Drosophila melanogaster: one gene and its partners. The protein of the gene in region 2 interacts with the protein of the main gene of each other region in a biochemical or structural test. Each region holds a gene or a part of one and is shown on either strand. Other genes may lie near its edges.

Region 1 (4,567 bases), on a different chromosome or scaffold from region 2:
TTTTCACGCTGTTATCACTGGAGGAGCTGGCAAAGTGTTTGCCGTCCTCGGAGAATGCCACGCACAGCACCCAAGATGCGTGCCCAGATAGGGTGCCCACAACGTCGGAGTGGGTTCTAAAACGAGGAGATAGTAGTGCCTGAAAATGTCATAGGTGTTAAGCCACTTACACATCATAAAGCTTCATGTGACCATCATCTGAGGCAGTGAGCAGCAGCTGCGAGTTCGGAGAAAAGCAAAGGCTACGCACTGGCATCGCGTGTCCTTCCAATGTTTGCACTACCTTGCCCGCGGCCACATCGAAAATGGTAATGATACCATCGATGGCTCCACTGGCAATGTACTTGCCATCGGGACTCTAGAATAATACAGCTATAGGATTCTCAAAATGGGTTATTTACCAGATAAAGCTTACGTAGGCAATGCTAAGCGTGTATTTCCCATTTTGGGCATCCAATGTCTGCTCTGCCTTTCCGGTTTCCACACTGTACATGGAGATTTTGCCGTCGTTCAGTCCGGATATCACATATTTGTTGCAGGGTGAAAATTGCACCGTCCAGAGATCAACAGGCCCAAAGCTAAGTAGGTGTTTCTTGTCGCCCGAACGGGCATCCCACAAACACATGGTGGAGTCCAGAGAACTACTGGCAATGGCTGGAAGGAAGGCGGCACCATTAATTGATGTCCATTTCTCTATCTCCCAAGTACAGAATCTTTCAACCTACTCTGTCCATCGGAACTGACGGCCACAGAAACAACTCCCAGGGCATGTCCTTTTAGTTTGTGGCGCAACTTTAGGGTGTTGTCCTCCTGCAAGTCCCACACCTTTACCAAGTCATCCAGTCCGCCGGTGACCAAGAAATCCTTCGGGCGGGCCTCCTTCTTATCGAAATCAAAGGGATTCTCCTCGGGCTCCACGACCGCGTCATCCGGATCTGAGGCCGCAGTGTCGCGTCCCCAGGTGCACGCCCATAGCTGACTGTCGTGCGCATTTTCCTCTTTATGAAGGACAGAAAACTAGCGGAAAAAAGGGATGTATAAAAGGCACAGTTCGTTAAATATCTACTTACCATTTTAAAATGCCGGAAAAGTGTTTATTTTATGCGAACGAGAGCGATCAGCAAATTAGCTGTTATCGATAACAATGGTTGACGTTAGAATTAGTATTGAAAAGGGAGGTTTACAGTGGGTCAAAACTGTTATGCTGAATATGTTTCAATGTGAATAAATTAAACATGGAATTCTTTATATAAATGAAAGAAATAAAGAAGTATAAAACAAATTGACGTTTTTAAAATTTTTTCACAGGTAATATTATATATAACAAAATAATATTTTACTTTATTATATCTTTATTATACTTATTTAGGTAAAAAGCTTAGTTTTTAAGTAAACATGTTATATATTAAATTATTTGAATTGCTATTTATTGTTTTGGTATATTTGCCCATATGGCACACGGCATAATACCACTTTCCCGCCATGGTCACACCATCGGCTTATAGTTGCACTCCCGGCGCGGCCACACTGTTTATAGCCGTCGAGAACCGAGGAACGAACGTCGCGTTTTAAAAAACAAATCCCCAAACGACTCGGACGCGAGATCCAAGCGACTGGCGAGGAAAAGTGTAAGTGACGGGTGCAATTACGTGCCCCACGGTGCAGCCATGCCCGGATCTACCAGTGCGGTTATATAATGCGGATATAGTTATAGTTCTTAGCCCCTCGCGATACGATATCAAAAACAAAGGAACGAATAGGACCAACGCGTGTGTTCTGCTTTTCAGTTTTCGGTTCGTTTTCGATTTTTTTTCATTTTGCTGTCGTCGCCGCCGTGAATTCGAATATGTATGATTTTCTTCTATGGATCCGCGTGTCTGGAATATATTAATAAACATAAACAGTGAAGCCTCGTTCGTTCGTGTGTGTGGGGGCGGGTGTGCGTGAGCGTGAGTGCGAGTGTGTGTGTGGTTGTGCATCAGCATATTATTTATCTCACATATCATATCTTTCGACAAAATCGAAAAGATTCGAATGATTCATTCTTGTGGCAGCAGGACTCGCCGATTTGTGCACTAAACCGAAATGAAAGGCATATAGTTTTGCTGCACTTTCCATGTGTTTTTCGTGGTGTGTTTGTTTTATTGATTCCCACTTTCCCGTTCCCCGTTCTCCGTTTTCCGCCCAGTTTCCACTTCTTCCCCTCCGTACAACATTCATATTCGCGCCTGCCCCCACAACTTCGTTTCCGATTTGGTGTAAACAATAACGGCAACCGGTTTTCGCGTGCAACTTTATCTCCCTAATATCGCCATTCCTCTTATTCTTCTTCTCTTCCTCTGCTCACTTTTGTTTCGATTATAATCGCAATTTGCCGTTTTCAAAATGATATATGCAAACCCTTTCGAATAAATCAAACAGTTCCAACTGAATTTGTAAATTATCAAGGTGAGTCGCCAGCCGGGGATCAATAATGCTATATTATAAGATGAAGTGGAAGATTTGCATGTTTATGTAATCTTATCGGTATTTTATGTTAATTTTCTCACACATGTTGGGATTCATATATCTTAAGAGAGGTGTATTCATTTCATAAAACATTCTTTACTTGAGATTTGGTATATGAAAGTTAGTTATTCGTTTATTTTAACAATACTACAGGCAAACGATGTCTTCTAGGGTATGAAATGGTCCTATAGAAAGAAAGGTAGTTAGGTAGTAGTAGTGACGCTTAAAGATCCGTAAAGTTAAATGACTCTAAATCCCACAGCTTTGCTCCACTTCCATTCGTAATTCCAAAGCAAACCCATCACGGTTGCTCTTAGCCTTCGCACTAATGTGACTGGAGGATAAGAATAAATGTTTGCCCTTAAGAGGTGCTCAAAAGGCGTCAAAAAAAAAAAAAATAATAATAAGAATGGAAAAACTAGACCATAAACATAAATGCATTTCACAGCTGCCATTAGTGCACAACTTTTCACAATCGGCGAGAAAAACCAGCGCAAAAACCAAGTACGACAAAATGGAAATCCAGGGCATGCAAAAAGAAAATGAAACAGTGGCAAACTGCGGAAAAAGCCAAAGCCCAGGCGCAATGCACTCGGAAAATGGATGGAAAACCAACAAAGTTATTAGTTGAGGTGGGAATACCGCGGTTCCAAGATCGCGGGGAAATGCGAAGTCAAGTGTGGAAAAGCGCTCGCTGGGAAAAGCGTGACATAGTCAAAAGCAATGGGGGCGAAATTGGAGCAATTTGAGTCTGTGCAATGTGACATCATTGTAAGGGGCGTGACGGAGGGCGTGGCAGCAGCCGACAATGACAAGTGCCGAAGTTTTCCAAAAACAAAAGAAAGTCAAACAAGAAAGCAGGGAACATTATTGTCAAGTAAGCGAAAAGATTTGACATATTAGCCATGACATTATTTTAAAGAAATTCAGTAAATTACATGAAATATCTATCAAAGTAGATAATCAAATGATTGTTTTGAGATTATATACAGTGCTTAGTACATGAAGATAAAATAAGAATAAAATGATATATAGTGCTATTTGTAAACCCATTGTACGGGTTGAACTCTATGGAAATTACCAAGAGAGTCGCAATCACGAACATCCTCTGATAAGAATATAGCTGGAATAATCGCCATTCGTTGAACCCCCCAGTCACAAGAGCAATATATAGGAGCATTGACTTTTAAGATCGCGTTCTGATGTCGGTGCAATTTTCTTTACACCAATCAAGGCAGCCCAGAAAATGAAAATGTGATGGCGTCAAGTCATGACATTGCACTGGCAAAAGCACAAGAACAATGGGAAAGTACTCACCATTTGGATTCCAGTGGAAGAGCCAAACTTTTTGCTTGACTGAATAAATATTTCTGGTCCGATCTTTGGCATGGCCAAAAGTGTATTTAAATCCAGAGATAAGATAATAGGTGGAGCATTGCTATTTATAATAATCAACGCTGGGCTCTTTTATCACTTTCGAAGGTTGGAATGTTATTTTAAGCCTCAGCCTCGAGAAAAACACCTAATTTGGGCCCTAATTGGGGCCTCGTTTTTGTTGTTTTTTTTTTTCCCCCTTTTACTAAATATGTGGGATCAGAAAAATATAAATAATATGTATCTGTGTGCTAAATTTATTTAAATATTCTGCAATTAGCCAATCTATCATGAACTTAAAGTAAGGAATAGTTCCAATTAGAAAGTATAGATTACTTTCACATATTTTAACTGCTGTCACTCCTGTAAAACACTCCCATTTTTGTGCCCCCTTAAACCTTTGACTTTTGTTTGTGGAATGCCATAAAGTGCACTCTTTATGACCGCAATGCGTTTGCAACTGCAAGTGGAAGGCAGGGTCTTCGGTTCCTCATTTTGAGAAGCACTTGAAAAGCCATTAAACATTGCTCCAAACCCGACTCGAGTAGAATCCCCGTATCTGCCTTTCTTCCCCCAATTAACCCATAAATGGGAAATTGATATCGTTCAATGTTTTGCGTTGTGACAGTGATAAAATATCAGCCGAATTAGATAAACTTACGGTCAAGGACAAGTATCTTTTACA
Region 2 (6,689 bases):
CTTTGATTTCAGTTTCTTGGCTTATTCAAAAAGCAAAGTAAAGCCAAAAAAGCGAGATGGCAATACCAAATGCGGCAAAACGGTAGTGGAAGGAAAGGGGTGCGGGGCAGCGGAAGGAAGGGTGGGGCGGGGCGTGGCGGGGTCTGTGGCTGGGCGCGACGTCACCGACGTTGGAGCCACTCCTTTGACCATGTGTGCGTGTGTGTATTATTCGTGTCTCGCCACTCGCCGGTTGTTTTTTTCTTTTTATGCTGCGCTCTCTCTAGCGCCATCTCGCTTACGCATGCTCAACGCACCGCATGTTGCCGTTTCCTTTTATGCGTCATTTTGGCTCGAAATAGGCAATTATTTAAACAAAGATTAGTCAACGAAAACGCTAAAATAAATAAGTCTACAATATGGTTACTTATTGCCATGTGTGTGCAGCCAACGATAGCAACAAAAGCAACAACACAGGTGGCTTTCCCTCTTTCACTTTTTGTTTGCAAGCCGCGTGCGAGCAAGACGGCACGACCGGCAAACGCAATTACGCTGACAAAGAGCAGACGAAGTTTTGGCGAAAAACATCAAGGCGCCTGATACGAATGCATTTGCAATAACAATTGCGATATTTAATATTGTTTATGAAGCTGTTTGACTTCAAAACACACAAAAAAAAAAATAAAACAAATTATTTGAAAGAGAATTAGGAATCGGACGCTTATCGTTAGGGTAACAACAAGAAATGCTTACTGAGTCACAGCCTCTGGAAAACTGCCGCAAGCCAGAGAGAGAGAGAAAAAGAGGGAGAGCAGCTTAGACCGCATGTGCTTGTGTGTGAGGCGTCTCTCTCTTCGTCTCTGTTGCGCAAACGCATAGACTGCACTGAAAAAATCGATTACCTATTTTTTATGAATGAATATTTGCACTATTACTATTCAAAACTATTAAGATAGCAATCACATTCAATAGCCAAATACTATACCACCTGAGCGATGCAACGAAATGATCAATTTGAGCAAAAATGCTGCATATTTAGGACGGCATCATTATAGAAATGCTTCTTGCTGTGTACTTTTCTCTCGTCTGGCAGCTGTTTCGCCGTTATTGTTAAAACCGGCTTAAGTTAGGTGTGTTTTCTACGACTAGTGAATGCCCTACTAGAAGATGTGTGTTGCACAAAATGTCCCTGGAATAACCAATTTGAAGTGCAGATAGCAGTAAACGTAAGCTAATATGAATATTATTTAACTGTAATGTTTTAATATCGCTGGACATTACTAATAAACCCACTATAAACACATGTACATATGTATGTTTTGGCATACAATGAGTAGTTGGGGAAAAAATGTGTAAAAGCACCGTGACCATCACAGCATAAAGATAACCAGCTGAAGTATCGAATATGAGTAACCCCCAAATTGAATCACATGCCGCAACTGATAGGACCCATGGAAGTACACTCTTCATGGCGATATACAAGACACACACAAGCACGAACACCCAGTTGCGGAGGAAATTCTCCGTAAATGAAAACCCAATCGGCGAACAATTCATACCCATATATGGTAAAAGTTTTGAACGCGACTTGAGAGCGGAGAGCATTGCGGCTGATAAGGTTTTAGCGCTAAGCGGGCTTTATAAAACGGGCTGCGGGACCAGTTTTCATATCACTACCGTTTGAGTTCTTGTGCTGTGTGGATACTCCTCCCGACACAAAGCCGCTCCATCAGCCAGCAGTCGTCTAATCCAGAGACACCAAACCGAAAGACTTAATTTATATTTATTTAATTAATTTTAATAAAACACACCAAATGTAAGTAGCTTTCCCCTTCCCAACAACAAAACACCATCGAACCACTCCCACCAAGAAAAAGCAATAATCGAGAAAAGCCGCGGAAAATGTGTGATTTTTTTTGTAAACAAAACATTTTTTTATGTGCCAGTGCTGAAAGTGATCAAAAAATACTAGCCACGAGCTAAAGAGTTATTGTATTGACCAAAACTCCAAAAATACCCAAGTTTGGCCCTAAATTGTCAATCAAAATACCAATAGGTCGAAAGACATCAAAATTAACAAAACCAGGGTTTCAAATACCATAACTCAAGAATCAGGATTACAACTGCAGATTTCAGGATATATACATACAAATTATACGAAATTATAAAAACCAAAGCAATTCAATAGCCCCAACTCAAATGTTAGGATCTAATATAGTGTTTAAAGCCAAGCTCGCTGATGTGGGCGTGTCACGATTTCACCCAAAGATATGCCAAATTACGAATTGCAAATCAATTCGCCAACACTTTCTTTTTTTCCCACGCCCTAAAACACCAGATCATCCATAAATGTACATACATACAGTATATGCATATTATAATCTGTAAAACTAGATCAGGTTCTTGAAAATAGTGACGTAGGCAGCCGTTTTGGCTGAAGCAGAAATTTTTGCCGGTTTTTCAAAGTTGTAGTTGCAAAAATGGAGAAAACCTTCGAGCATTCGTTCATATACACACACTCACGCGCAAAATAACGAGAGAGAGTGTATGTGTGTGTGAGAGAGCGAAAGCCAGACGACGGTTTGCTTTTCGCCTCGAAACATGACCATATATGGTCACAAAACTTGGCCGCCGCAATTCAACACACCAGCGCTCTCCTTCGCACCCATAGCGACCATGGCGCGGAGCGAGCGAGATGGCGAGAGCGAGCGACGCCTATGGCGACGTCGACGCAGGCAGCGATTGAAAAACGCAGTTAACTGGCATTCAACATTCACCAGCCACTTTCAGTCGGTTTATTCCAGTCATTCCTTTCAAACCGTGCGGTCGCTTAGCTCAGCCTCGCCACTTGCGTTTACAGTAGTTTTCACGCCTTGAATTTGTTAAATCGAACAAAAAGGTAAAGTTTAACTAGCTTTGAAAAGTTTCGTGGCTCTTAATTGTTAAATTTTCTAGAGTGCGTTTAGTGTTTTTTTTTTTTTTTATTTTGTAATGTTAATTTCGGGTTCCAATTCGAGTTTTAGGCAGCCGCCATTTTAAGGGCGCATACACACAGGCAACTGTGCTCTCTTTGCGGCTTTCTTTTGCACCGGCATTCGTTAAGTGTCGTCTAGAAGCTTCTCCCCTCCCTTTTCGGCATATTCGTATTGTGGTTTTAATTTTTCGGGGCGGGGCCTTCTATTTTGTAACTGTTCTTTTAATTTCTTATTACAATTCGATCGCAAGTGAAAATCAGTTTTCAATCGGAAAAGTATTTTTTTATGAAATTTTTTTTGTCCAAGATTAAAATTTTGTACTAAAAAAACGTACATTGCATTGAGTGATTTTTAATTGTACACGAAAAACAAGTTAGTTTGTTATGACAATTGTACTTTGGTAGACCAGCGCAGTCCAAGGAAACCACGCAAATTCTCAGTTTTTTTTTTGCCATTTCTACATTACCAAATAAGGTAACCAAAAACTAATGGGAAATCCGCATTCTTTCCATTGCAGCTTACAAAATGTGTGACGAAGAAGTTGCTGCTCTGGTTGTCGACAACGGCTCTGGCATGTGCAAGGCCGGATTTGCCGGAGACGATGCTCCCCGCGCCGTCTTCCCATCGATTGTGGGACGTCCCCGTCACCAGGGTGTGATGGTCGGCATGGGCCAGAAGGACTCGTACGTGGGTGATGAGGCGCAGAGCAAGCGTGGTATCCTCACCCTGAAGTACCCCATTGAGCACGGTATCGTGACCAACTGGGACGATATGGAGAAGATCTGGCACCACACCTTCTACAATGAGCTGCGTGTGGCACCCGAGGAGCACCCCGTGCTGCTGACCGAGGCCCCGCTGAACCCCAAGGCCAACCGTGAGAAGATGACCCAGATCATGTTCGAGACCTTCAACACACCCGCCATGTATGTGGCCATCCAGGCTGTGCTCTCGCTGTACGCCTCCGGTCGTACCACCGGTATCGTTCTGGACTCCGGCGATGGTGTCTCCCACACCGTGCCCATCTACGAGGGTTATGCCCTTCCCCATGCCATCCTGCGTCTGGATCTGGCTGGTCGCGATTTGACCGACTACCTGATGAAGATCCTGACCGAGCGCGGTTACTCTTTCACCACCACCGCTGAGCGTGAAATCGTCCGTGACATCAAGGAGAAGCTGTGCTATGTTGCCCTCGACTTTGAGCAGGAGATGGCCACCGCTGCCAGCAGCTCCTCGTTGGAGAAGTCCTACGAGCTGCCCGACGGACAGGTGATCACCATCGGCAACGAGCGTTTCCGCTGCCCCGAGGCCCTGTTCCAGCCCTCGTTCTTGGGAATGGAGGCTTGCGGCATCCACGAGACCACCTACAACTCCATCATGAAGTGTGATGTGGATATCCGTAAGGATCTGTATGCCAACACCGTGCTGTCCGGTGGCACCACCATGTACCCTGGCATCGCCGACCGTATGCAGAAGGAGATCACCGCCCTGGCACCGTCGACCATGAAGATCAAGATCATTGCCCCGCCAGAGCGCAAGTACTCTGTCTGGATCGGTGGCTCCATCCTGGCTTCGCTGTCCACCTTCCAGCAGATGTGGATCTCCAAGCAGGAGTACGACGAGTCCGGCCCCTCCATTGTGCACCGCAAGTGCTTCTAAGAAGGATCGCTTGTCTGGGCAAGAGGATCAGGATCGGGATGGTCTTGATTCTGCTGGAGGAGGAGGAGGAGAAGTCGAGGAAGCAGCAGCGAAAGTGCAAGTGCGAGTGGTGGAAGTTTGGAGTGCAGCACAACAAAATCAACAACAACACCAACTACAAGATGAAAAGAGCGGAACCACCTGCACACCATCATCATTATCATCATCGTTTTGGGCGCATGTTGTGTGGTTCCAGCGTATTAATATAATTAATTTATTCCACATGAGATATGATATGATATACTATGTATTTTTTGTTTTTTTTTTATTTGTAAACCTTTAATATAACAAGAACTACAAAAAATGAAAATGAGCGAAAATGCATATTCTGCCATTCCACACACACACCAACAACACCCAACACACGCACACCCACAAGCTTACACACACACATTCGCGGCATGACAAGGACATCAAGATAAAGAAGAACTTAAAGAAGATATTTCCCAAAGCGCAAAAAGAACACACACACATTGCAAAACACAAACAACACACTAGCGTTTTGTACAATTCGTCAGCAACCTTATGTATTATTTTTTAATTATGATGTAATTATAAACAAAGTGAAACAAAAATATGAAAACAAAAAGGAAAATCAAATCTGTCTTCTCTTTCTCCCGCTCTCCTCGCTCTCTGCTGCTAACCTCGCCCTCTCCTCTCTCATCTTTTTGTCTGTCTCTCTTCCACATTTTTGCCGGCCGGCAAAATAATAACCCACACACACTCACACTTGGCTGCAGTTTCGCGTGCGATATTCACACACATTCAAGCATACAAGCATACATACATATGTATTTTTTTTTTATTTGTACACTTTTCTAATTGCATGCGTATCGATTGATAAGTTTACGCCTGAAAATGTTAATTAAAATGTGAAAATGCAACTGAAAAACTGATGAAATGAAACAACAACAAGCGAACAATTTGCTACATGTGTATTGTCTAACAACCGTTACTGCAACGGTTGCTTCGGAAAAGGGTGAAGAGGAAGAGGGCACGAGGTCGACGAACTAAGGCTGCGACGACAAGCGGCTGTCTCGCTCGCACGCACGCACGCATGCGGGCTAATGATGCGATTAAAGTGCCGTTTTAAATGGCCAAGATCCAAATAAAAGTCGAGATAATAAGGCAAACACGCTAACACAAATCGCTGGCATAGTTTCATCCGCCAGTTTGGCCAAAAGCAGCGGCTGCAAGCGCCGTTTATCCGGTTTTTCCCAAACATTTTCCATTCATGCGGCCAAAGAGGAGGAGCACCCATCTTTCCATCTTTCTCTGACTCGCACGGGCAATGCAGTGCACCGGAAAGAAAGTGGTGCGAATTGGGATTTATAGACTTACTTTATAGACTTACACGTACAAATATACATAGATATTATATTATTTAAATACATTTTTATTATATTGCTTATATATTAGTTCGACTTCGATATCATTTCTGCCAGTATAATTATGGGCTCTGCTTGATTTGGCGCTCGGATGCTACGGTAAAAGTTATCTTTCTGTGCTTTCTCCTTTGATTCTTGAGTTTCAACGGTTCCGTTTTTGTTGATCTCGTTCATCTTCTTCTTCTTGCGTTCTAGACGTTCTCCTTTGTTTTTTGTTCACAACGGATTTCGTAGCACCTTGAGCGGTTTAAATATACATACATATGTAATACATACATAAATACATATGTAGTTAGTGTTTTTTTTCGATATTCGTATGCCCAAATGTTCGAATAATTAGTAGGTCTCATTAAAAACATCACAAATTAAGAGTAAAGCAATAAAAATATAGAAATATGTAGTATAAAATAGTATTCTAGGACTAAGATTGGTCATACCTGCGGTTTCTATGTGAATATGATGCGATGTGTTGCTTCCCCACTATCTACAGGGTATCGCACTCTACGCTTACAAAGTATGAGCCTACCAACTGAATATTCAGCGATGTGATCCCTTTTGGCCAAGGGTCAGCAGCGCGATTGGCCGGATTTCAATATTCCCGCCTTGAGTCCGCCGTACTTCGCACAGAAGCACTTGGAGCAGCGACACGTGC
Region 3 (4,812 bases), on a different chromosome or scaffold from region 2:
TCAGTAGTTCGATGTTGAGCCTCCGGGCGCTGAGCAACTTAATCCGGCGGCCACCCCTCTTCTTTTTAGGTGGCTGCTCCCTCGCTGCAGTCCGTGCCTTGTACTCTTGTATGGTCAAGGGCTTTGGTCCCGCGGACGGATCTACCTCTATTACCTCTTTGATACTTGGCAGATCCCTTTGCTCGACAGGAGCAGGGTGTTCGAACGTCTGCTTGGTAGACATTCGCTGTTGTCATGTGCGGCGCGCCGGTGGAATCCTTTATCCTTTATCCTAATCCTACCCTCGCAGGATGCCGTGCTAATTGCTGTTGCGGCTTACAATGGTCGAGGGCAGTCGTTCATGCAGACGTCGGGTCTTTTCGGCTTGGGTGATGTTGAATTTTCAGTTATTTCTTCATTGATTATTTCTATTTTTGCTGAGTGAGTTGTGGTATTCGGCTTTCTTTGCTGGAGGTTTTCTTTCAGAAAGTCTAATTCGGCAGTTAATTTCGGTGCCGTTGCCCATGGGGGCGGTGTTTTATTTGTATATCATAGCCACTTAATATGTGCTATACCTTTATTTTTGATTTCCTGACATCCGCGTTTGCCCATTACCACACTCTACTCACTCAGTATTTTTGTTTCTTTTTTTTTTCATCAGTGTCCCGTCTCTAGGTCTCCCGCACTGGTGTAAGGGGCGGCCTGCCTCTCACACCTGTTGTCGCTGTTTAGAATTCCCAAATCAAATCGGCAATATTAGCAGCATTTCCTCAGTAGTCCTCAGATCGCAGGCTCCTGCCTCACGGTCGCCATGTAATAAACCAATATATGCCACCAATTGAGAACACGTGTTTTCCTTGCAGTTGGGTGCAGCCGTCAGGCCACCTTTTTATTTCTTCTTATCTCTTCGAGTAGCAGAAACGGTTCTGCCCGCTTAACCTCTACAGAGTGTCTAATCTTACCTAAATACTGCGACTGCGCCGCCGTCGACAGCGGCAGAAGAGCAGCGTATATATATATGTATAAGAGAGAGAGAGAGAGAGCTTATGCGCATATATGGCCAGCGGCCAGCGTGGGGATGCTGACTTAGCTTAAAGCATAAATGGGTGATCTTATATCACGCTCACTTGAGACATTTATTTATGCAATGCAACTAAGTGTTGCTGTGTACTTATAGGTACAGTGTACCCTCGATATATGCACATACTACAATATATTCTTGTAATCAATGTTTATATTATGTAAATCAGCTGTCGCTCCCCAAAAATTCCTTAATTCCAATTAGAAGACAACGAAAAAATTTCTCTTTATTTACGAATAAAAATTGTCCCTCAACTCCAATTGGAACGGCTGATCCGTCAACATTTTAGTCGGCAACACTTTAGTCTGCAACATTTGGGAATGTTGCATCATCTTGTTGCTATGCATGTTTCCACGGAAAAAGAGAGTATATCATAACAAGAGACCATTCACTTTTTTCGTTTTGAAGCAACAAATTTGAAAAGAGAAAACTTTATGTTTTTCCCGCGGGCTTGTTTGTTTTTTTTTTCTCGCTCTCCGTCGAATTGACTCTACATTTTGATGTGATCTTATTATTAGGTGAATCAGCTGTCTTCAAAAGAACAGTTTTAATTAAAAAAAAAATCCCTCAATTCCAATTCAAATTTCATTTAGAACACAACGAAGATATTTCTCTTCTTGTACGAACAAAATGCTCTCTTAACTCAAGTTGGAACGGCCGTTCCGGCAACATTTAAGTTGGTAACATTGTTGCATGCTGCATGCATTTGAGCACAAGAGTGTCATTTACGATTAGCAACTCGCGGCGAACGGACGTGTGTAAAAAATAGCCGGTGAGAAAAAACGAAGTGCGATTGCCGAAGAAAAACAGAGAGATTTCAAATAATAAAGAAATGCAAATGAAACAGAAGAAAATAAAAATAAAGCAAAGTGCGTGATTTCCATCTCCTCAGTGTTGTGAAATTTCTAGCAGAGTCTAACGGCGATTTGCGAATGCCGACTTAAGAAGTGCGAAAACAAAAACGTGACGCCAGTTTAAAATATTCTCAAGCGAAAATCATGTGTTTTTTGTTATACCCTGTGCTTTGTGTTTAATGTAGCTGACGACAAACAAAATATTAGAATCGTGTACGTCGGGAATCCGAATTCCATCCCCTCGTGTTGTGTTATTATTGTATTAAAGTTTCCTTTGCCATTTACCACACACAACACAGAAAAACAACAACAACAAAACTAAACCAAAATCGAACCAAAAACAAACCGCGAATTTTGCAGGTTAGCCCACCCGAAAGAGGCAAAAAAATCAATTATATGTTGGCCAGTGCCGGGTTTGCAGTGGAATCGGGTTGAAAGCCATCGATAGCCACACACGCCCACACACATAATGACGGAGCACCAGGCCGAGGAGCAGGCGGACACGCCGCCCACCAAGGTCAAGGCCACGCCCACACCCACCCCGAGTGGAAAGTTCAAGGACGCGAAGGAAGACGCCTTCCTGTCCACATCGCCGGACAGCGCCAACGGCGATGCCCAACACAAGCTGCCAGCGGACCAGCTGGCCATGTCCTCCAGTGCGCATCCCCAGCAGGCGGGCCAAGCCCGCCCGCTCATCCTGCAAGCCTTCCACCGCTGCTCCTCGCCAGAACAGTGCGTCACGCTGCACGACATCCTGGACTCCTTTAAGGCGCCGCTCTCCGAGGACCAGGCCTGGGCCCTGATCCACCAGTTCGCCGGGCTCTACCACCAGGTGGCCGTACAAGCGCACACCTGTGCCGCGGACTACGAGGCCGCCCTGCCCACCGGATTCGAGCTGCACTTCCATCGCGACGGCAGCGTCCACTTCTCCGGCCCGGATCAGCTGACGCCTAAGGAGCAACTGCAGCAGGAGCAGATCCCCCTCCCCCCGCAGCACGACGTGATTGTGGATCAGCCGGACCACAGCGCCAGCAGCAGCGGCGACAGCAGCGTCATCAACAGAGGTAAGCAGACCGACCTACTGAAAAATCAATATGCATACATATTTCTCACGGCTACAGTTAGCGGAAATTAATATTCCTGCAGTTTATGCCAGTTGTTTAATTAACGGAAATTAACTTAGTATGAATCTTCTATTCCTTGAATTTTTAATTTATTATTTTTTAAATCATGCTGAAAATATTTGAACTAAAATTGATCTATAGTCATAGTTATTAATGTTATAACATTTATTTATTAACGTGCTGCACACAACTGGCAATCTTTAGAATCTATATAGAAGTGGAAATGTTCAATACAACATTGATCAACTAACAATTTGGATTGATAACCTAATGAACCTGCCAACCCCAAATGACATTTTAATGTCGTTTTTCCTTACAATTATAGTAACATGTTTTAATCACAAATAATTTATTGTACATTGCACGCAAATGCAATTTGACTACCTTTAAGCTAGCAACCCGTGTATATTCTTTCGACTTTGTGTTAAGTTCTGTATCCTTTGAGCAATATTTCCTATTATTTTTTATGAGTCTTCCTAAAGATATATATATAGTTTATGTGTATTTCGGCCCGTCAGAGGTCAGTTGGGTGTTGACTTCAGATGCGGAACTGTAACAGTGATGAAAACTGGGGCTGTGATTAGCTGGGCCGGAAAACCGGTTGCGCTGATGCCTCTCCGAATGCTGAGGGGTCTTTGTCTTTTCGGCAAACGCTTTCATTTTCAGTTAATAAGCCACAGTTAACTTCTTTCTCTCGGCCTTTTATTTTCGGACATCTGCCGTGATGTGGGTTTCCGTGTGCCATCCATCTGACTATTGGCATCGCCCGGCCATCGCCAGCGGAGTCCCCAGCGCTTTCCAAACAAACAACCCACACTATCCGCCATCCGATGATGACCTCTGCATTTAAGTTATGCAGCCAGCCAGCTTTGATTGGGGTTTTCCCCACTTCTGCCTTCTGTCTGATTGCGTGCTGGCTTGGGAAAGTGTAAACGGCGACTCCCATGAAGAAGGTACCATCCCAGTACCCTATCAGCAGTGTTTTTCACTTTCTTTTGTAGCTCGGAGAGCACAAGTATCACTGGAAGAAAGGCAGGTCATGTTCGGATTGGGCAGAAGATTGAACGCTTTTCCTTGCCGCAATACAATCGAATCCAAATCTACGAAAGTAGATTTTTTCCAGTGTAACGATCACAGCCTTTCCTTTCGGCATTCCCCCTGCATTCGCTGTAATTGATGGGGGGATACTTTTTCGCCTCTCGATCTCTGAATCTACAGAACGTGTCTGAGTCTGTCTCGCAGCTAATTGTTTAATCATTCGTCTGCGCGGGGACTGTCAAAATACAGGTCGGTAATCTATCGACTTTTAGATAAGCCACGTTAATTGGAAAATGCGTTTCTGAGTGGGTAGTGATGGGAATCTTGGATTTCGTTCTCCTAGGTGGCCCTTAATGTGACTCAGCTCAGCTTTTGGTCTGCAGCATTAACTGCATTCCATTGCATCTTTCTTCGTATGGGCCTGTCTATCTCTATTTGGCCAGGCCAACTCTGCCTATAGCCGGCTTTTGTATCAGCGTGGCCAATTAGTTAGCTCTTATAGACAATTAGCCAGTTACATGGGTAATCTTAAGGGCACGCAGATACAGGAAGTTACAGTATTAATTGAACTGTGTAACTCGGAGGTGAAGGAACTATAGATGGCTGATAATGCTGTAGGAAGTCCTAGGGGATTTTAAAACCCATTTCAGTATACTACTTAAAATTCAGAAATTTTCTTTTATAAATAACTTAAAAAATGTTCTTAGCTCTTAAACCTCTGTAATTAAAGGTCTGT
Region 4 (7,201 bases), on a different chromosome or scaffold from region 2:
CATCATCGCAATGCCGCAGTCAAGTTCGGCAAGTAAACTTTGGATATTCAAATGTTCTTTAAGAAACTGTGACAAATGTCGCTGATGTTGCGAACCGCGGGAAAATGGCAAATGCGAAAAAGCTGAAAAGGCCGACCGCCGCCGTTTGAAACTAGTTCAGGTGCCCTACCCCAAGTTGTTGGTAGCAAAAGAGAGAGGGAAGCGGCGACTGCAGTCGATTACGGCAGCGGACCATAAATAAATACAGGTGCTTGTACCGCCTGGCATTGTAGTGCACAGTGAGAAATTCGCTGAAATGCTGTACTGAGATGATTGGTAGTGGTTCAAGGTACGGTAAGATGAGAATTTTTAAATTACTTTGAGATTTGTATACCAAAACATGACGCTCATTTACAATCCAATAATATTTCATGCATCAGAATCGAGTGAGGCTTAAATTTAAGAACTTTTTTCAATAGCTAATATTATGAAACCACATGCTTATTTCTTTCCGTGCACTAAACGTATCGTAATGTGGACGTGGACAGCGAACGCAGGGATTATTGTTAAATGCCACCCACTGAAATCGGAAAAAGAGCCCGATGAATGAACAAATGGACGACACAAATAGCGGCTGGCGAATTGGGCAATGTGTTGCGACTAAAAATACGCGCACTAGAACGGGCTGCCAAGATGAGAGAGACTAGAAGGCGAAGACAAAGAGCTAGTGGTAGACCAAGTTTTTGTAAAGGATTTCCGCTGTTTTGCTGCGTTGGCGCCCACCTCCTCTCTCTCTCCCTCTCTCTCGCTCGCTCTCCTCTCTTATCAATAAACAGAGCCCCTTGGCCCCACTCTATCTATCTCTATCGCACGCACACAAGCAAGCGGAAGCGATAAGTTGCTGCCATATAAATAATGTTGCAATCTAGGATAAGAATTTAGGGGTTCCTTATGTTCCTATTCGCATTCCCACTCCCGATCTCCGAGTGTTATATCACTTACCTTTGGCAATGGTTGCTCTCTCTCGCTCTCTTCCTCTTCGCTTCGCATTTGCTCTTCTCTCCGCACTACGCACTCCTCTTTCTAGTTCCCTTCGTTGTGCGGTAGCAGTCAGCTTATGTGGGGCGCCCACTCACAATTCAACTCATGCGCTCTGCATTTTCTAATTGAATTGTTTGCTCTCAAACTGTACAATCGATGCTGAGTTACTATAGCCGTACGTATGTGTGTGTTTTGGCCCAAGGAAAGGGGTACTGGGTACTGCTTTTCGCCAGCAGCGTCACAAATCAATCCAATCGCTTTTGCTTTCTTCCTACTCACTCGCACTCACGCACCATTGACTTTTTATTTTCACGCACACTGGCACACTCGCGACGGACACACGGATGGGAATCCGGCGTTGCGAATAACGGCAGAATTCGATTTACGGCAATTGTCGTTGGTGGGCGTAGGCAGTCAATGTTTTAACTTAACACTGGGCTTCACGCTGATGCAAACACACTCTGACAGCACAATATTTTTAAGTTTTCGGTTCCCAGCAGCCATGTTAGCGCGATGGAGTCGCATTTATATGTGCGGCCTGACTATCGTGGTGCATCGGTTTTTAGGCGGCGCGAGCGGGACGCCAATACAGCACCACCGCCACTGTGACCAGATGGCATTATTGAATTTAACAGCAATTTTCACATAATAGCTTGTTCCCACTGAGATGTAAAGCTAACTGACACGTTAGCTAGCTATAACTTTTTCGAAGTCTATATAATTCTCTTAACAGCCAATATGTTTTCTTGTTATTTAATATATGGCTTCCACCAACCAATAGGTTTATATATTAACCTAACCTAAGATTAAAATAATGATAACTTTCAGTGGAGATAGCTGAAATATCGATAACGACTGTCACAACAACATCGATTTAAATACCATCTCTATTTTATCAACGCAGCGTTTATTGGCTTTTTGGCGTGGAAAAGTGAAAAGATAATTGACAAAAAGTCCACAAAAGTGCCGCAACATGAACACACTGGGTCCTAAGAAGGACGGAAGTCCGAATATAGACTTTTTCCAGTCGCCGGAGACGCTGCAGGGCTTTGAATCGATTCGCCAGTGGCTGCAGAAGAACTGCAAGAAGGTGCGTGCCAACAACAACGCCGCCGCAAACAAAAATGGCGCTGTCAGGCGGCGAAAAAAAAACGATTTACTCACAACCGTATTTATTGCAGTATTTGGCCCACAGTTCGGAGCCCATCACGAAGGAGTCCTTGGCCCAATTGCTCATTCACTTCCTGCAGTATGTGGAAGCCAAGCTGGGCAAGAACTCAGCGGATCCGCCGGCAACCAGAATTCCGGTTAGTATTGATAGTGCCTGTGGTTGGTGAGGGGGACAGGGTGCCCCGTGTTGCGTGTGTACACGTAAATATTAATCCTCCAATGGCCAAATGTTTGGACCACTAGCTTATATTTTGTATTTAGCTACATGATTTACGTACATTAAAACATATCTCTAATAATCGTACCACCCACACCAGATGCGTTGCTTTCTGGACTTCAAGAGCGGCGGTGGTCTGTGCATCATTTTCTCGACCATGTTCCGTTTCCGGGCCGAGCAACGCGGCAAGAAGTTCGACTTCTCCATTGGCAAGAATCCCACGCGCAAGGATCCCAACATCCAGCTGCTGATCGAGATTGAGCAGGCGTTGGTCGAGGCGGACTTGTATCGCATACCGTACATCTATATTCGGCCGGAGATTGAAAAGGGCTTCGAGGGAAAACTGCGCGAGATCCTGGACAATCGACGGGTAGAGATTGTGTCGGACGAGGAGGACGCCACCCATATCGTCTATCCTGTGGTGGACCCACATCCCGACGAGTATGCGCGGCCCATTTTCAAGCGCGGCGGACATGTGATGCTGCATTGGTACTACTTCCCCGAGTCCTACGATTCTTGGGCTGTGAATAACTTTGACCTGCCCGATCACATTCCGGAGAATCCCGAGTCACCGGCGGAACGTTGGCGTGTGTCTGCATCCTGGATCGTGGACCTGGAGCAGTACAATGAGTGGATGGCCGAGGAGGACTACGAGGTTGACGAACAGGGCAAGAAGAAGACGCACAAACAGCGTATGTCCATAGACGACATCATGTCATTCGGCGACGAGAAGAAGAAGCCTGCTGCCAGCTCGGGCGGAGGCAAGCAGAAGAGACGCCGTTCACCATCTCCCGCCAGTTCGGCATCCACCTCAAAGCCGGGCAAGCGTAAGCGTTCTCCCGCCGTGGTGCACAAAAAGTCGCGCAACGACGATGATGACGAGGACTTAACTCGCGATCTGGATGATCCGCCGGCCGAGCCCAATGTTCAGGAGGTTCATAAGGCAAATGCCGCCTTGCAGTCCACCGCCAGTCCAGCTCCGGGCGGTAAATCTCGTGGCGACAACGACATGATGCCCATTAAAGGTAAGTTTTGTTATCTTATATCTGCATTGACTAAACAAACTGATATCTAGGTGGCACTATGACCGATCTGGATGACGAAATGACTGGAGGAAGCGCCGCTCAAGCCATGTCTACCGGAGATGGGGAAAACTCGCAGACAGGCAAGACAAGTGATAACAGCAACACGCAGGAATTCTCTTCATCGGCCAAAGAGGATATGGAGGACAATGTGACCGAGCAGACGCACCACATTATCGTGCCTTCGTACTCGGCTTGGTTTGATTACAACTCCATTCATGTGATCGAGAAACGGGCCATGCCGGAATTCTTTAACAGCAAGAATAAGTCAAAGACACCAGAAATCTATATGGCCTACAGGAATTTTATGATTGATACGTACAGGTAAGTTGAAGCTCCATTTTTTTTGCAGCAAATAGTTTTGAATATGTTACTCATCTATTTCAGGCTCAATCCGACGGAGTATTTGACCAGCACAGCTTGTAGGCGTAATCTTGCCGGAGATGTGTGCGCCATAATGCGAGTACACGCCTTCTTGGAGCAATGGGGCCTGATTAACTACCAGATCGATGCGGATGTCCGCCCCACCCCTATGGGTCCACCACCAACCTCACACTTTCACATTCTTTCGGATACGCCATCAGGTCTACAGTCCATAAATCCGCAAAAGACGCAACAGCCGTCGGCGGCAAAGACGCTGTTGGATCTGGACAAAAAGCCATTGGGTAAAGATGGCGGCCTGGAGTTGGGCGATAAAAGTGGTCTGACTGGCATCAAGACAGAGGCTCTAGAGAATGGCGCTGCCGGAGGATTAAGTTCCGGAGTGAGCCAGTTTGGACTCAAGCTGGATCAGTACGCAAAGAAGCCGGCGGCCATGAGGAATCGAACGGCGGCAAGCATGGCTCGTGAATGGACCGATCAGGAGACTCTGCTGTTGCTTGAGGGCTTGGAAATGCACAAGGACGACTGGAACAAGGTCTGCGAGCACGTTGGATCTCGCACTCAAGACGAGTGCATTCTGCATTTCCTTCGACTTCCCATCGAGGACCCGTATCTAGAGGATGATGGTGGCTTCCTGGGCCCCTTGGCCTGCCAACCCATTCCGTTCAGCAAGAGTGGCAATCCCATTATGTCCACCGTCGCATTCCTGGCATCTGTGGTCGATCCTCGCGTTGCCGCTGCAGCAGCAAAGGCTGCCATGGAGGAATTTGCAGCCATTAAGGTAGTTACATTTTAGTCACGTTTAAACCATGATTTTAACATCCAATGTAAAACTTATGCTAGGATGAGGTGCCCGCTACAATAATGGACAACCACCTGAAAAACGTGGAGAAGGCTTCGGCAGGTGGTAAATTTAATCCGAACTTTGGGCTGGCCAATAGTGGAATCGCAGGAACCGGAAACGACAAGGACGATGAAGAGGGCAAGGAGGGTGGCGCATCTGCATCCGCTGGCGGCTCTGATGAGGAAATGAAGGACCTAAGCAAAAAAGACGGTAAGCCAAAGCCATTAGAGATCGGTAAAGGGGGTTTATGGATGTTGGTTAAGGGAAAAGTCGCTAAGTCGAGCGAGTTTTCTTTTAATCGATTTTAAAGGGAATTTACTCAATTGTTGGTTCTGCATTTGTTTGTCTTGTTGAACTCTTGTGTTGCTTTCATTCAAAATTCGCAATTTGTTCACCATTTGGCACTGTATTCGTATATTGTTTCGTTTTTGTGTTGCGCCCAATCTACCAAACTTACATCAACACCACAACCATCAAATAACAAACAACAACCACAGACGATGCCAAGTCCAAAGACAATACAAAATCGGATAAGACCAACACAAACACAGACTCGAGTTCCACATCATCATCAGCGACAGGCAACACCAACAACACTGACAAGAAACCAAAGGAGTCGTCCGGCTCCTCGCCTTCGGGCGATAAGTCAGCCATCAAGTCAGACAAATCAAACAAATCCTCACCCACAGAAACCGCAGCAGCCGCAAGTGGTGGCGAAGTGGACATCAAGACGGAGGACAGCAGTGGCGATGGCGAAACTAAGGACGGCACTGAGGCCAAAGAGGGAACGGGAACCGGAACAGGGCCATTGGCGGTGCCAAAGGAAGGAACATTTAGCGAAAATAACATGCAGACTGCGGCGGCGGCAGCTTTGGCATCGGCAGCAGTTAAAGCCAAACACCTGGCTGCCCTGGAGGAGCGTAAGATCAAATCCCTGGTGGCTCTCCTTGTTGAGACTCAGATGAAGAAGCTGGAGATCAAATTGCGCCACTTTGAGGAACTGGAGGCCACCATGGAGCGAGAGCGCGAGGGATTGGAGTACCAGCGTCAGCAGCTGATCACAGAGCGTCAGCAATTCCACCTGGAGCAGCTAAAGGCAGCCGAGTTCCGAGCGCGCCAACAAGCACATCATCGTCTTCAGCAAGAGCTCCAAGGCCAGGCGGCCGCGGGATCAATGATCTTGCCGCAGCAACAGCAGCTACCACAGGCCCAGCAGCCGCAGCAGCAACAGCAAACGCTGCCACCTCATCCGCACCTGGCGCAGCAGCAACAGCTGCCTCCGCATCCGCACCAGTTGCCGCCGCAGTCCCAACCGCTAGCGGGTCCCACCGCCCAGCACCAGCCGTTGCCCCCGCACGTAGTGTCGTCGCCCAACGGTGCTCCCTTTGCAGCGCCACCGATTTCGCTCACGGGAGGACTCCCGCCGGGCGCACCCACGGCCATTGTCACGAATCCGAGCGACCAAACCGGACCAGTCGCAGCGGGAGCAGCGCAATCTCAAGCACCTACACCCATGGGTAAGAACTTTAACGGATAACAATTCATAAACTATAATACTTAGACATCCAACTCCCGCCATAGATACTACACCACCAAGCAGCGGTCCAGTGTCAGATGCCAACGCACCGCCGGGATCGGCAATGCCACCAGGGGGAATTCCTCCGGCGAACACTGCTCCCATCGCCGGCGTAGCTCCCTCTTCTTAACTCTTACTCATAAGCCAGGAAACGTTAAAGTAAATAGCTCTAAGTCGTACGCTCTCAGTATGTATTATGTATACTCCACTTTAAGCCCAACTCTTGTGTGTAATCTGAAGGAGATGCACTACACATTGACGCGTCTCCAGTTTTGTGTAAGTTTCATTTCGTGTCCGGTCGCGTTTACAAGCAATTGCACAAATATTTTGAACCAAGTTTCAAAGCCGAAAAATAGGCATTCAATAAAAATTTATTTAAACTACGAGTGGCAGTTATTCCTTTATTTTTACAAAAGCAAAAGCTTTTAACTTACTTGAACAAGTTAATAAAATATCTATAATTTAAACATTATTTAATTACCATTTTTGAGTTTAAGAAATATACTAAGCTAGCTGCGTAAAATGCAGCCAAGTATTTAAGCCTTTTTTGATTGGTTATTAGATCACTGAAAGCTGGCGACGCCGCAGGATGTTTGGTCGCTTGATCTCTCTCATCAAGTCGTTACTCGAAGCAGCACGCTTTACGTTGGGCGAGCTTTGCAAGGAAAGTGGTGATGCGGCGGGAGATGAAGGTGGATGACTGGAGCAGGAGCCACTTTGGCATACCCTGGGAGGGGGCGGTGAAGATATGCTGATGTTGGCTCTCATGCTCAATTCGTTGGAAGTTGTTTCCGTCAGAATACCAACGTTACTCTGTGATTCTTCCAGTGACTTGCGTGTTTGCGCACACTCCAGGTGGCGGCCATAGTTGCCCATACTTTGGACATACACACTGTTGTAGAAAGTGATAA

The links.
Region 1: of the proteins of Act5C (region 2) and Mical, one has a biochemical effect on the other in vitro, tested with the Drosophila melanogaster proteins (2 studies listed by BioGRID).
Region 3: the proteins of Act5C (region 2) and spir are reported together in a solved structure, tested with the Drosophila melanogaster proteins (2 studies listed by BioGRID, with this or other methods).
Region 4: the proteins of Act5C (region 2) and mor interact in far-western blotting, tested with the Drosophila melanogaster proteins (one study listed by BioGRID).

The regions. Positions count from the first base shown.
Region 1 is NT_033777.3:10,039,853-10,044,419, reverse strand, and holds the start of Mical (molecule interacting with CasL), read left to right. Parts: upstream 1-1,524; 5' UTR 1,525-1,628; intron 1,629-2,421; exon of another isoform or gene 2,422-2,448; intron 2,449-4,567. Other genes in the region: CG3909 (uncharacterized protein), read right to left, coding at 1-116, 171-358, 416-654, 726-1,017, 1,071-1,073. UniProt on the Drosophila melanogaster protein: Monooxygenase that promotes depolymerization of F-actin by mediating oxidation of specific methionine residues on actin.
Region 2 is NC_004354.4:5,899,219-5,905,907, forward strand, and holds Act5C (actin 5C), read left to right. Parts: upstream 1-1,642; 5' UTR 1,643-1,795; intron 1,796-2,763; exon of another isoform or gene 2,764-2,878; intron 2,879-3,471; 5' UTR 3,472-3,479; coding exon 3,480-4,610; 3' UTR 4,611-6,181; downstream 6,182-6,689. UniProt on the Drosophila melanogaster protein: Actins are highly conserved proteins that are involved in various types of cell motility and are ubiquitously expressed in all eukaryotic cells.
Region 3 is NT_033779.5:20,309,437-20,314,248, forward strand, and holds the start of spir (spire), read left to right. Parts: upstream 1-1,782; 5' UTR 1,783-2,383; coding exon 2,384-2,978; intron 2,979-4,812.
Region 4 is NT_033777.3:15,967,605-15,974,805, reverse strand, and holds mor (moira), read left to right. Parts: upstream 1-1,892; 5' UTR 1,893-1,993; coding exon 1,994-2,110; intron 2,111-2,201; coding exon 2,202-2,327; intron 2,328-2,507; coding exon 2,508-3,432; intron 3,433-3,482; coding exon 3,483-3,813; intron 3,814-3,876; coding exon 3,877-4,651; intron 4,652-4,713; coding exon 4,714-4,924; intron 4,925-5,211; coding exon 5,212-6,231; intron 6,232-6,295; coding exon 6,296-6,420; 3' UTR 6,421-6,672; downstream 6,673-7,201. Other genes in the region: Rbf2 (Retinoblastoma-family protein 2), read right to left, coding at 6,849-7,201.